Caenorhabditis elegans: one gene and its partners. The protein of the gene in region 2 purifies or fractionates together with the protein of the main gene of each other region. This does not show direct contact. Each region holds a gene or a part of one and is shown on either strand. Other genes may lie near its edges.

Region 1 (3,975 bases), on a different chromosome or scaffold from region 2:
CCACCTCTAACTCGCTGCTTCTGGTCCTTTTCTTCTCAATTTCCATCGGACTAGGCGGAATTTGTTGGTGTGGATTTTCAGTAAATCATCTGGATTTGGCCCCACAGTATGCTGGACATTTGATGGCCACGTCGAACACATTTGCGACAATTCCTGGAATTTTCGGACCTCTTCTAGTTGGAGCAATTGTGCAAAATGGGGTAAGCTTACAAGCCAGAGAAACTAAAAAAATTTACCTGTTTTTAGACAATCGGTGAGTGGAACGTGATCATGTACATCATAATATCTGCTTATCTGCTCGGAGCTGCAATTTTTTGGAAGTTCGCCGACGCTACCCTACAACCATGGGCCGCAGAGCACACTTCCTTTGTCGGACAGCTGGAATAGATGGTCAACATATCTAACTTTCCCACATTTCCTTTCTATTAGAAGCATAATTGATCTTTCCCCACAGAGTTTTTCCTTATTTTTTTTCTAGCTTTCAGAATTTTGAGGCTGAACTCCTTCAAAGAACACAATGAAAGTCTGGATGTTGAATTGAGACATTGTTTATTTTACATATTGAAAGTACATCGTAGAGCTTTGACTAGTCCCGATATGGGAGAATGTATATGCACCACAAGTAACTGCTCAGAGAAAATCTAGAAGAAGTTTGCAAATGTTTTGGAATACCAAAGTAATGAAAGTGGGTGAACACAAAAAAAAAATGACAAAACATGTAATGAAATGACAATAGAATTTGCGAGCGAGAAAAAAGAAGGAAAAACCATTTGGAGTGATAGAAGTGTGTACGCGCAGTCAGACGGCGTGGTTAGGAAATTGGGGTTGCCAGATGGCTTCGAAATGACGTTATTCTTCCCACTGGTGGAAGAAGTTGGTCAAACCAACCGGCAACCACACATTTCCAGGTGATTATAATGATCTCGGCTATAAAACTAAGGGTAAAGAGCGGCGAAAATAGAAAAATGCGCGCGGAATGGGTTAGAGCGCCGTCTGAACGCTGCGCCACACGGAATGACAACAATGAGTCTTGAATACACGGCGATGTATCATAGGAGCACGTGGAAAGGTCTTCAAATGAGACACCGTAATGGATTCTAGAATAACGTTGACGCCACTCCCAAAGTGGTTGCAATTGCTTGTGGGCTGGAGATGTTCAGGCGCTGGCGAGCTCGTCTTGGGCTCCGGTGGTAATGAGGTGAGCGAAGGCCTTGTAGTCGACCTCTCCTCCCTCGATTGGTGGCTTTCCCTAAAAAATGAGGAGTTGGGAAGTTTCAAAAATTTCAGAAAGAATGAATTTACCTTGTACATAGCCTTGACCTCATCCTCGTCCAATGGCTCTCCTCTCTTGTTTTGAAGGATCTTGATAAGGTCGTCCTCCTTGATCTTTCCGCAGTCCTTCTTGTCGAACATGGCAAAGGCTCCAATAATGGTGGCCTCTGGGTCAGTTCCTGAAATTAAATAGATTCAAATCACCATTAACTTATCAAATTTAATTAGCCTACCTGTCAATCTCTCTCCGAAAAGGGTGAGGAAGACGGTGAAGTTGATTGGTCCGGAAGCCTCTTTAATCATGGCGTCGATCTGGCTGTCTGGGGCGATTTGTCCCATGGAAGCGTAGAGATCCTTGAGGTCAGACTAAAAATTGTTGATTAGAACCATTAAAAAAATAAGAAAAATTCTAACCTTGTCAATTATTCCGTCCTTGTTCTGATCCATGATTCCGAAAGCCTCCTTGAATTCCTGGATGGTCTTCTGGTCGAATTGGGCGGCCTCGGATCCCGAGCGCTTCTTTGAGGACTTCTTCTTGGCGGCCTTGGACTGGAAAATTGAGAACATATTGACAATTTTATAGTCGATTTAATTGCTTGATTTTTAAACAAAGCCTAAATCTAAATGTTACGTTCTTAATTTACCAGAAATTTTTTAAAGATGAAACTGATTATAGAACCTCTGATTCAAAATAAATAATTTTTTAAATACAATATAGACAGGTTAAATCAAAATATATATGAACGCACTCCTATTCCTATACAGAAACTCATGCTTTTCAAATAACTTATTAAAAAATCCAACTCACCATTTTGTGGACTGTACTGAGTAGTGAACTGAGACTAACTGAAGATTATCCGTCGCTTTTGTCTGCCTTTTACACTCGTTGGGCCCCGCGTCGAGGGGAGGGCTGTTTGAGCAAATCTCAACAACTTTACACAAGAGGCGCACCGCCCCCGTGGTGCTAACATCAGGCACCCGTCGGAGGTTTCCAAGAAGATGGGCAAAACTCTCGCCTTGCTTGCGTCGCGATGCCTCTTACCCGCCATCGAAAAAGTTGCTCGATCGGATAAATGAGGGGATGCAATAAGGGAAAGGGAATAGATCATCCGAGCTTTAAATCTGAGCAGGGCACAACATAATCAGAATTTGTTTTGAGTTGGAAAGGAAGGTTTAAATTCAACATTTCCAACAAACAGGATAATTGAAAACTTGAAAATCTGAAACTCTTTTGTTTTGGAACTTGATTATAAATTTTAATTTTCATAACATGACTAAATGGGACATACTGAATTTATCAGATGGTTCCAGTAATATCTGTTTATAATATTTCACTAACGATAATTTTTTTTGACATATATTTTTCTGGTATAAATTATAATTTTCCTACTAATTGTTTCAACTACTTGTGAAATCTATTTGTATAGTTTTTTTTCAAGTTTTGTTAAAATGAAATAATTAATCGGGCGTATTTTAAGATAGGATGAAACAGAGCAAATATTGATTTTCACACAATCTTCAAAGTTTTGACATACGCAGTGATTTTTGATTTTAGGATTTGCAGCTATTTTTGAAATCAATAATTTTGATGTCATTGAATAACAGACAAAAATTGTGTTTCGAACTATACTCTCATTGGAGACAATTCAGAAACGATTCAGAAAAAAAAACCTTCCATCAGAATTAGTGTGACAAGAGGTTCTTACTCATATCCTAAATTAACAAGGATAACTTTTTTGATTCCTCAACTTTCAAACTTTTTCATCTGATTTTCTATTGAGTGTTCTGTCTACCAGTGCTCTTATCTGAAAACAGCTTTTAAGATAATGCGTCAGCTGGCAGAAACGCTTTTAATTTTGCTTCCTGTTTGTTAACTTATTTTTGAAACGTTTTACTTCGAAAAGAGTTAATTTTTTGGTTTGTTTGTAAATTTGAAAAAATCATTTAATGTTTATTATGAGCGTATTACAAATGTTCGTAAAAGTTATTATTATTATCACTCCACAATTTCCGTTTGTAAAATGAATAATTGAATTTTTTTTTCCAATATACATCAAACAAAATTGTGAAAAAATTGCTTTAACGAAATTGAAGCATAAACAATAGTTCTAATTCCAATTACAACAATTTGTGTAAATCAAATGTTTCCTCTGAAAACTTCAAACAGTAAACCATTAATGTTTTGAAAAGTACGATGATGGTCTGGAAAACGCGCTTTGAAAATTTGTTACAACACGTTAGAATCACAAGTTCAGATTAGCTGTCGCCTCTAAAAATCAATTGTTGAACAATGTCTTCTTCAATTTTTTGATAATCAGCAAGCACAACTACTAGAAACAAAATATACAATTTTAAAGTTGGCAAAGAAACATTGGATACAATTTTCCAGTCGCTTGGCATTTTTGTTGAACATAATTTCAATTTTTCGAAAAATTTATGTTTTGTAATGTTTTATTTTGATTTCCATACTTATGAAGTAGTAAAGATTTCTACTGGGCTCATGAGATACAAAACAATCTGAACATTCAATTTTTTATCTTCGGAAAAGTTCTTGCTAGAAAAACAATAAAAACCACTTATAAACATTCCTTTCAATTGTTCTCTTTTTACGAACTTGTTAATTTGTCTTCAGCCATTAGAAACAATATTCGATGTTACATGTTTTCATTCAACATTCAAAGTTATATTCTTTCTAATTCCTAT
Region 2 (4,559 bases):
GTATGAGATTGTGGGATTTGGAGAGAAGCTGATTTGCTGGAGAAGCACAAAAATCTGAAGAAAATGTTTGAAGAAGATAAAGCAAACGGAAAGACTATCCAGTTACATACATACTATCATGAGAATGATTTATGAGCCTTTTCGTAAATTTTTAGACAGATACTATTATCAGGAGACCTTTTAAAGCAAACGCGACAACTTCATAGTAGTTACCAAGGCTCGAAAAATTGATTGGTGCAACTTGAAGTTCGAATGAGTAGAATTGATAAGTATTACAGGTGCCTCCAAATCGATTGTCCGCCACAATGATATACCTCGAATCCATCTGATCAAAATTATTACTGTAGCATTGAATCGCAGTACCGTAATCAAATATTAAATATTTTTGCCCCCCTCTCCTCTACGTATCAATAAAAATAGTCTTAAAACTTACTTCGACTCCAAAGTAGGTTAGTATCAATTTTGCAGACTTTATTTGTAATGCATTTCTAACAAGGAAATTTTTACATTTTACCCTCAAACTTCAAAATGAGACATGTTTCATCTGAAGTGTTTTAGATTATGTCACGAAAGGTATGTCACTGCAAAATTTTAAGCAGCAATACTTTTCTCTCAACCCCTAAAATATCGATCTGAAATTGTCTCATTTAACCACTACTTTAGAGACCTGCATAATTGCTCTAAATGCTTTTTTGCAAACTTTGAAAGTTTTTCAGGAAGTGTAGGTAAACACTCCGGGAGGTTTTTAAAGAATTGTGATTTTTTTGGAGAATTGGTCTAAAAATTTTTTTGATTTTTTTTTTGAAAGAATTGTTATAACAATTTTCTTGATTTTTTTGCAAAAAAAATTAAAGGAAAACTGCACTGAAACAATTTCAGATCAACAATTTTAGGGTTGATATTAGAGCTTTGCCGCTTAGAATACTGCAGTGAGTATTTTCGGTTTTCACTGGTCTCTGTAAAAAGAGTAATGCAAAGGCAAGTTAACTAGGTCGTAAATGTATTGATTTGCTTAAAATCTGAAGATCTAGTGGTGAACCGTGGAAGATTATCAAGAGGAGGCTGAAGATCTGTTTAAGAACCATTAATCAAACTGGTATTCTATTTTCACTGGTTGTATGTAAACATTCTATCTTATTCCTTTTATCACTGTTCTGCACTTTCCTATAAAAAAAGTTGACCGACCGTACTCTCTGAATTCATTTTTCCCGATCTTACCAACTCCCGATCTATCTCTATCCCTGGTTTTTTCTTCGTGCTCCAATGGAATTCTTGAGACTTCCACTATCTTCTCTGGCACCCTCCACTACGCGTAGGCGTCTCTCGCTTCGTGTATTCCCGGGAAGCCGGGTTCCCGTCTCTCCCGCCGCTGCCGCTGCCGCACACAGCTTTACACCTCGTAGAATCCCCAAAGAGGGGCGTGGCTTGCGGGTGCCAACATCCTCCTGCCGAGGAAGAAGCAGGCACTCATCACTCGCATCATCAACCTCGACTAAGGGAGCACCACATTAGTTTTGAGGTAGAGAAACCATTTGAAAGAAGCGAGAAATCATGGAGCACGAGAAGGACCCAGGATGGCAATATCTCCGCCGTACCAGAGAGCAGGTTTTGGAGGTGAGTATTTATTTTTTATTTATTTATTTTTCTTTCATTTGTCTTTATTGTTATGCTCATTTCTATAGAGTAAATCGTATAGTACTCCATAAGTATCTAATTTTAACAAAACTGAGCATTTATTTTTGAAATTCTAGATTTTTAACATACAACTGAGTTAAAGTCTGCCATTTTACACTTATAGATTTTTTAAATTCAGGTAGAAGATTTGAGCTTGCCTTGTAATCCTTGTAATCAATGTTTATTTCTGTTTTCTAATTTTTCATAGATTTAGCTTCAAGATCATCTTTCCCTTGAAATCATTGAAATCTTCCTTTCTTAAATTTTTGCATTGCACTTGGAATTTTGTGACACATTGTGCTGCAGTAGTACTGTATTTTGAGACGGCACATTTATTTTGACTACACCACAAGCTTAACCTTGATTTTACTTTTTGATTCCATTCCATTCATGGGTCTAAAGTGTGAAGCGGTTTAGACCATTTTTCAACACAAGTTGGTATTCTTTAGAAGTGATATATTTCTGAATTCTGATCTCTTTTGTACCATTATTGTAATTTCAGGATCAATCTAAGCCTTATGACTCCAAGAAGAACGTCTGGATCCCAGATCCAGAAGAGGGATACCTTGCCGGAGAAATCACCGCCACCAAGGGAGACCAGGTCACCATCGTCACCGCTCGCGGAAATGAGGTTCGTTTTTAAGCTAATGATTACGGTTTTCAATGTAGTGTGATTCAGGTCACCCTCAAGAAGGAGTTGGTTCAAGAAATGAATCCACCAAAGTTCGAGAAGACCGAAGACATGTCCAACTTGTCTTTCCTCAACGACGCCTCTGTCCTCCATAACTTGCGTTCCCGTTACGCTGCTATGCTCATCTACGTAAGTTTCATTGAAACTTAAAGTTAAGCATTGAGAATCATTCATATTCTTCTTCTAAATTCCCATAAAATCCCGAAACTCCTTCCCTCTATCTTCTTTTCTTCTCGTTTTCAAATGTTTCTCTCTATCCCATTCTCTCATCAATTGAGTGGGATGAGGCTATCTCTGCCTCTCTTCTGAATCTCTGAACCATCTTACATTACACTGTGGATGACGGGAGCCCCACAGGCTCCCTTGCATCAGATACTGCCATTGGGGATGGCAAAGAAGAGAGAAGGTATTGTGAGGATATATTTTTCTAAGAAAAAACGTTTGAAGAAAAGAAGATGAAGAAGATCTGCTTGATTCATTGCACAAGTTAGAAGTAACAGGGGTCTATATTTCGAAGAACTTAAAGGGAATGCAACTGAACATAAAATTAAACAAAGGGATTGAATCCTGCAGTATTTAAAAATCGAAACTAGAATGTTTCCTATTTCAGACCTACTCCGGACTTTTCTGCGTTGTCATCAACCCATACAAGCGTCTCCCAATCTACACCGACTCTTGCGCCCGTATGTTCATGGGAAAGAGAAAGACAGAAATGCCACCACATTTGTTCGCTGTCTCTGACGAAGCCTACCGTAACATGCTCCAAGACCACGAGAACCAGTCTATGCTCATTACCGGAGAATCTGGAGCCGGAAAGACTGAGAACACCAAGAAGGTTATTTGCTACTTCGCCGCTGTCGGTGCCTCCCAACAGGAAGGTGGAGCTGAAGTTGATCCAAATAAGAAGAAGGTCACCCTTGAGGACCAAATCGTCCAGACCAATCCAGTACTTGAAGCCTTCGGTAACGCCAAGACTGTCCGTAACAACAACTCATCCCGTTTCGGAAAGTTCATCCGTATCCACTTCAACAAGCACGGACGCCTCGCATCTTGCGATATCGAGCATTGTGAGTTACTTTTTGATTTATATTCTAGCATAGCTCAATAAAAATTATGCAACTATTGTTTTAAACTATAAATTTTGCAGACTTGCTCGAGAAATCTCGTGTCATCCGTCAAGCTCCAGGAGAGCGTTGCTACCACATCTTCTACCAAATCTACTCTGACTTCCGTCCAGAGCTCAAGAAGGAACTTCTTCTTGACTTGCCAATCAAGGATTACTGGTTCGTCGCCCAGGCCGAGTTGATCATTGACGGAATCGATGACGTCGAAGAGTTCCAACTTACTGATGAAGCTTTCGACATCCTCAACTTCTCTGCCGTCGAGAAGCAGGATTGCTACCGCCTCATGTCCGCTCACATGCACATGGGTAACATGAAGTTCAAGCAACGCCCACGTGAAGAGCAAGCTGAGCCAGATGGTACCGATGAGGCCGAGAAGGCATCCAACATGTACGGAATCGGATGCGAGGAGTTCCTCAAGGCTTTGACCAAGCCACGTGTCAAGGTCGGAACCGAATGGGTATCCAAGGGACAGAACTGCGAACAAGTCAATTGGGCTGTCGGAGCCATGGCCAAGGGTCTCTACTCCCGTGTGTTCAACTGGCTTGTCAAGAAGTGTAACCTCACTCTGGATCAAAAGGGTATTGATCGTGATTATTTCATCGGTGTGCTCGATATCGCCGGTTTCGAAATCTTCGACTTCAACTCCTTCGAGCAGTTGTGGATTAACTTCGTAAACGAGAAGCTCCAACAATTCTTCAACCATCACATGTTCGTCCTTGAACAGGAAGAATACGCCCGTGAGGGTATTCAATGGGTCTTCATCGATTTCGGACTTGATTTGCAAGCGTGTATCGAACTTATTGAGAAGGTAAGATTGAATTGAAATTTTAAATGTATTTTGATCAATTCTTATTTTTCAGCCACTCGGTATTATCTCCATGCTTGATGAAGAGTGTATCGTACCAAAGGCTACTGATTTGACCCTCGCTTCCAAGCTTGTCGATCAACATCTTGGCAAGCATCCAAACTTCGAGAAGCCAAAGCCACCAAAGGGAAAGCAAGGAGAAGCTCACTTCGCCATGCGGCACTACGCCGGAACTGTGCGTTACAACTGCTTGAACTGGCTCGAG
Region 3 (4,500 bases), on a different chromosome or scaffold from region 2:
GAGACTGGGAGAAGCCTTGCGTGGGTTGACTTTGCGGGTCGACTTTTCTTGGAAACTGGGTTGACGTTTTTTGGAAAGGTTCTTGAAAATTTTTGATTTACCGCAGAGAAAATTATGGATTTTGTTTGATCATGAGAGAATACATTTCCCGACTTTTATCTGAAAATATCGAAAAAAAAGGTCGGAAACCGATTATTAATTTTTTTTTGAACTCCCACTTTTTTATAAGAACAGAGAAATCGATTTTAAAAAAAGCATTTTCCCTAAAAACTTTTTAAAAAAAGCAAAACTTTCTATTTTAATGGCTCTGAATCTCTGTTGCTCGGAAGTTAAAAAAAATCAAATTTTCGGTGCTATTCGAGCAAGATCCATTCCCAAATAAAAAAAATCTCTCACAATTCAGCGATATTTCGGAGTTTTTGAGAACATTTTTTACTAAAACCGCCTTTTCTTAGTACAGTCGTACCGAAAATAATATTTTCTGCACCTGTCCCAGGTGGCAAACAAGAATCAGAGATCTAAAGACTTGGAAGTGAACCTCACATTAAGATCCCTCCAGGAAACCTTCGGAGCTCTCGTCTTGATTCGCTTCTTCCTTCCTACTTTTCGTTTTTTTTTGCCCACAAAATAGTCATCGAAGAAGAAGAAGAAAAGATGAGATTTTTGCCCCGATGCGAGATGCCTGGTGAATAGTGTGATCTTCGTGGAGAGATGTCTCGCTGATCTCTCCTTGATTGCCATTTCACTATATCTTCCACCCCGAAGTCTGTGGACTCCACTGATCTCCGCATCTCTCGTCATTGAGTAAAAGCATTGGCAGAAGAGAGAACAGAAGAAGGAGGAATAAGAAGGAAGAGATATCTCCACAGTGGGTGCCTGTGCTTTTTCTTCCCGTCGGCTGTGCTCCTAGGAGTGGAATGCCGAGAAAATGTGCGATTGAAGTGGCACGCGGGGAGGATAGAGAAAGAAAATAAAGATATTGAAAGGGAGAATAGAGAAACATACGTTTACAACGAATTAATCGAGTTCGGCAGCCAACACGGGAAAAATGAACTTGTGAAGATGTGTTAAAACACAAAGATCTTATTAATTATTGAAGAGGGAGGAAATAAAATAAATTAACATTTCGAGCATTGGGGTACTGTAGACCTATTCCGTAAACAGAGAAACAAAATGGTTTAGCAGAATTCGCGGACTGAGGCGAGAGGCAGGCGGAGGTTGCCTTAAGGTCAGGCAGGCAAGCGTTTTAATGCAAAAGTAATGGATACTTGTTGAGCCTTATAATAATGTGTCGATATTAAAAAACACAAGTATGGATTTTTAACATAAAAAAGTTAAAAGACGCATGCTTAAATATTTTATAGGATAATTTGGTACTCCTTAAAACTCAGTTTGTATAAAAAAACGATTCGATGAGAGTATAATAGATTTCCAATGTAACTTAATAAATTTCTTGTTTTCCAGGTCGACGTGTGCACTGGATGCGGAGTAATCGGCTCGAAGGGTTGGTGCCAAAAGTGTCGTTCGAGCAAGTCAATGGCGAACATTAAGATTCCGTATGCGTGTAAGCTGCTCTTCCAGGAACTTCAATCCATGAACATTGTCCCGAGGCTGGACTTGGCCAGATACACCGAATAACCTTGTTTTGTAATTGTTGTTGTTGTTGTTATGCTTCTTCTTTCCCCTTCCCAAATCATTTTTTAATCTATTTTTTACTTGTTCCCCGAAATTTGAACATTTTTTGTTGTTTTTTTTGTCATACATTCATTCTTAAACTTATCATGAAAATTTTCTAGAAAATACTTGTTGAAACAGTACGCCGCGCTTTCTCGCTCTCACATCCCACATCTCGCCACTCTATCTCTTGAGCATTACATCCCTCTCTCTATCTCTCGGGCTCCCGAGGGGTGAAATAGTGTACTCGCGCGGGAGTGCGGGAGCTCAATATCCGCCCCAATCCGCCCCCATCCTCTACGAAGAGTCACACACAGTTTACACTTGGGTTGCCACTGCTCTGTCGCCTTCACTCAGTTTCCACACTCAGTCCCCCCTGCTCTGCCGCCGCTGCAACACTCACACATCATCACATAATGGCTCCACCATCCCAAGGTGAGTAATTTTTTAAGCAATGTCCCCAGCTCTTAGGGATACCTTATAAGGTTTTAGGACTTCTAAAACATTTTATTTTTAGTTTTTTTTTAATGTTTCAAAAATATATCCAATTCCCCAAATATATCCCTACAATCCCAAACATTTTTTCAAACTTGAAATCGTTCTAGACGTGCTCAAGGAGATCTTCAACCTCTACGATGAGGAGCTTGACGGCAAGATCGACGGAACCCAAGTCGGAGATGTCGCCCGCGCCGCCGGACTTAAGCCAACTCAGGCTATGGTGACAAAGGCCGCCGGACAGGAGTTCAAGCGTAAGGGAGAGAAGAGACTTACATTCGAGGAGTGGCTCCCGATGTACGAGCAACTCGCCAAGGAGAAGGTACGGTATTTTAAACATCTTGCCTGTGCCTTTAACCTTTAGCTGAGAGTTTTTTGAGATTTAGGGATCTAGGGGCCTCGCGCCAAACCTTTAACTCCCGCACCGAGTGATAATCAAACAAAGAAGATGAAGCTTGAGATTTGTTTTATTTCAAGGTCTAAGTAAATATTGGATCTCAGAGGTTAACCCCATACAGTACCCCTAGCCGAAAACTTTTAAATCACAACTAAGGGTCTGAAAAATCTGAACATCCTCTTCCACCGGCACATGCCAGCCGATCCCTAGAACTTTAGAGAGATAGGCGGCGGCGGCTCCCGTGAAGCATGTGTGGGAGAGGAGCACATAGGACTCTCGAGAATCTCTCTTGGCACACACAAACACACACATAGGCACAGTGTAACAATAGAGAGCATCATCATTCTGCGTCTACTGGGTCCTTGTTGTAGATATTTGTATGGATAGGAAGTAGTAAGGAATAGGCAAGGGATCTTGAGTAAGGATCCCCATATACGGGTAAAAGAATGGAGTGAGTATATATGAAGCTTCTAGGAGCTATTGAGTTTTGGAAAGAGCTGCCAGCTCAGACTATTTAGTGGAGGTTTAAGGTAAAAAATCCTGTAGATCTTTGATTGAATTCAACTAGGGCATTCTCTGGACCCACAACCGTCAGTATTTTGAAAGCTTTAAGGCAACCAGTTTCTTAGAAAAGATTCAAAACAGCACATGGAGATCTTGAAGAGCCAATAGAAACCTACGAACTGAGCTCAGAAGACTGGACAACTCATAAAGTTTGAAATAGCAAGTTTGGCCAGATATTTTGGGAAACACATTTCGCTTTCGTTATTAAATAGTCTGCGAAGTTTACCTGAGCACATATCTACTCAAATTTGACAATCTGAAAGTCAGTGTCTAACGAATTTTGGATAGAATCCTAAGCGAAAATCAGAGAGTTCTCTGGAGCTTCGGGATGGAATTAGCTGATGTTCGAGGTTACTGTCACCTGAATAGGGAATGATTTATGTTTACTGGAGTTAGATGCCTACCTTAGGGTCCGCATGTAGAGCAGATCATCATTCATTTAACATTGAGATTATAAACTGAGAAAATTGTTCTTTCCAATATAAATTTCCAATTTCTTCAGGAGCAAGGAACCTACGCTGACTTCTACGAGGGACTCAAGGTGTTCGACAAGGAGGAGACTGGAAAGATCTTGGCCGCTGAGCTCAGACACATCCTCTTGGCTCTCGGTGAGAGACTTTCCGCCGATGAGGCCGATGAGCTCCTCAAGGGAGTCGAAGACGGAGAAGGCATGGTCAAGTACGAGGGTAAGCCGATTTTTTTTCTTCTCGGAAATTTTTTTTAATTGAAATTTATTTCAGATTTCATCAAGAAGGTTTTGGCCGGACCATTCCCAGACCAGGACTAAATTTTTGGATCTGAATCTGTGCTACACCCATTATAATGTTTAAATTTTGAAAAAAAAAACACCATCTTCTCTTACCCAAATTTTTTGCTCCCCTTTCCCTTCTCTGCCTTCTTTCTCCCCGTTCCAAATAACGATGTTTTACTTTTTTGTCTATAAACCCATCGTCTAGTCGCTCGTTTTCTTCTACGCTATACACGTAAGAGATTCCACTCGCGTGCGCGCATTCCGTTTTCTGATCCAGAAAACGTTTTGCACTTTAAAAATCAGCGCGCGGTTTTCTCTTCTTTTTCTCCAACACATTCAAGCCTGTTTCTATGATCAAGAAATTTTCTTTCTTTCTTCATTTTACACTTTTTTATTCAGAAATTCATTCGTTTCTTATATTCGTTCTCCTTTTTGGATTATAATAAAAAACCTTTTGAATAATTATGAAATGGAAATTTTGGTATAGTACATGTAGTAAGTTGAAAGGCTGCTAGAAATATCAGCTTTTGAGTCGATGACCTGATAAAAACAAACTGCCAGTTTGATTTTTATCAATTGATTTATTTTCCGTCTACTGTGCAAGAACGGTAGCTTCCAA

Evidence for each region. Proteins that work in one complex are often made in the same cells at the same time.
Region 1: the proteins of unc-54 (region 2) and mlc-1 purify together in Caenorhabditis elegans (affinity purification with mass spectrometry; 2 studies listed by BioGRID, with this or other methods). This does not show direct contact.
Region 3: the proteins of unc-54 (region 2) and mlc-3 purify together in Caenorhabditis elegans (affinity purification with mass spectrometry; 2 studies listed by BioGRID, with this or other methods). This does not show direct contact.

The regions. Positions count from the first base shown.
Region 1 is NC_003284.9:17,457,338-17,461,312, reverse strand, and holds mlc-1 (Myosin regulatory light chain 1), read right to left. Parts: upstream 2,104-3,975; 5' UTR 2,084-2,103; coding exon 2,081-2,083; intron 1,822-2,080; coding exon 1,687-1,821; intron 1,639-1,686; coding exon 1,506-1,638; intron 1,452-1,505; coding exon 1,303-1,451; intron 1,250-1,302; coding exon 1,157-1,249; 3' UTR 535-1,156; downstream 1-534. Other genes in the region: slc-17.1 (Sialin), read left to right, coding at 1-200, 247-387.
Region 2 is NC_003279.8:14,860,443-14,865,001, reverse strand, and holds the start of unc-54 (Myosin-4), read left to right. Parts: upstream 1-1,519; 5' UTR 1,520-1,551; coding exon 1,552-1,614; intron 1,615-2,176; coding exon 2,177-2,305; intron 2,306-2,353; coding exon 2,354-2,494; intron 2,495-2,975; coding exon 2,976-3,432; intron 3,433-3,512; coding exon 3,513-4,297; intron 4,298-4,349; coding exon 4,350-4,559. UniProt on the Caenorhabditis elegans protein: Required for muscle contraction.
Region 3 is NC_003281.10:5,563,042-5,567,541, forward strand, and holds mlc-3 (Myosin, essential light chain), read left to right. Parts: upstream 1-1,983; 5' UTR 1,984-2,090; coding exon 2,091-2,109; intron 2,110-2,279; coding exon 2,280-2,491; coding exon of another isoform or gene 2,492-2,533; exon of another isoform or gene 2,534-2,775; intron 2,776-3,632; coding exon 3,633-3,816; intron 3,817-3,870; coding exon 3,871-3,917; 3' UTR 3,918-3,966; downstream 3,967-4,500. Other genes in the region: rpc-2 (DNA-directed RNA polymerase subunit beta), read left to right, coding at 1,465-1,638.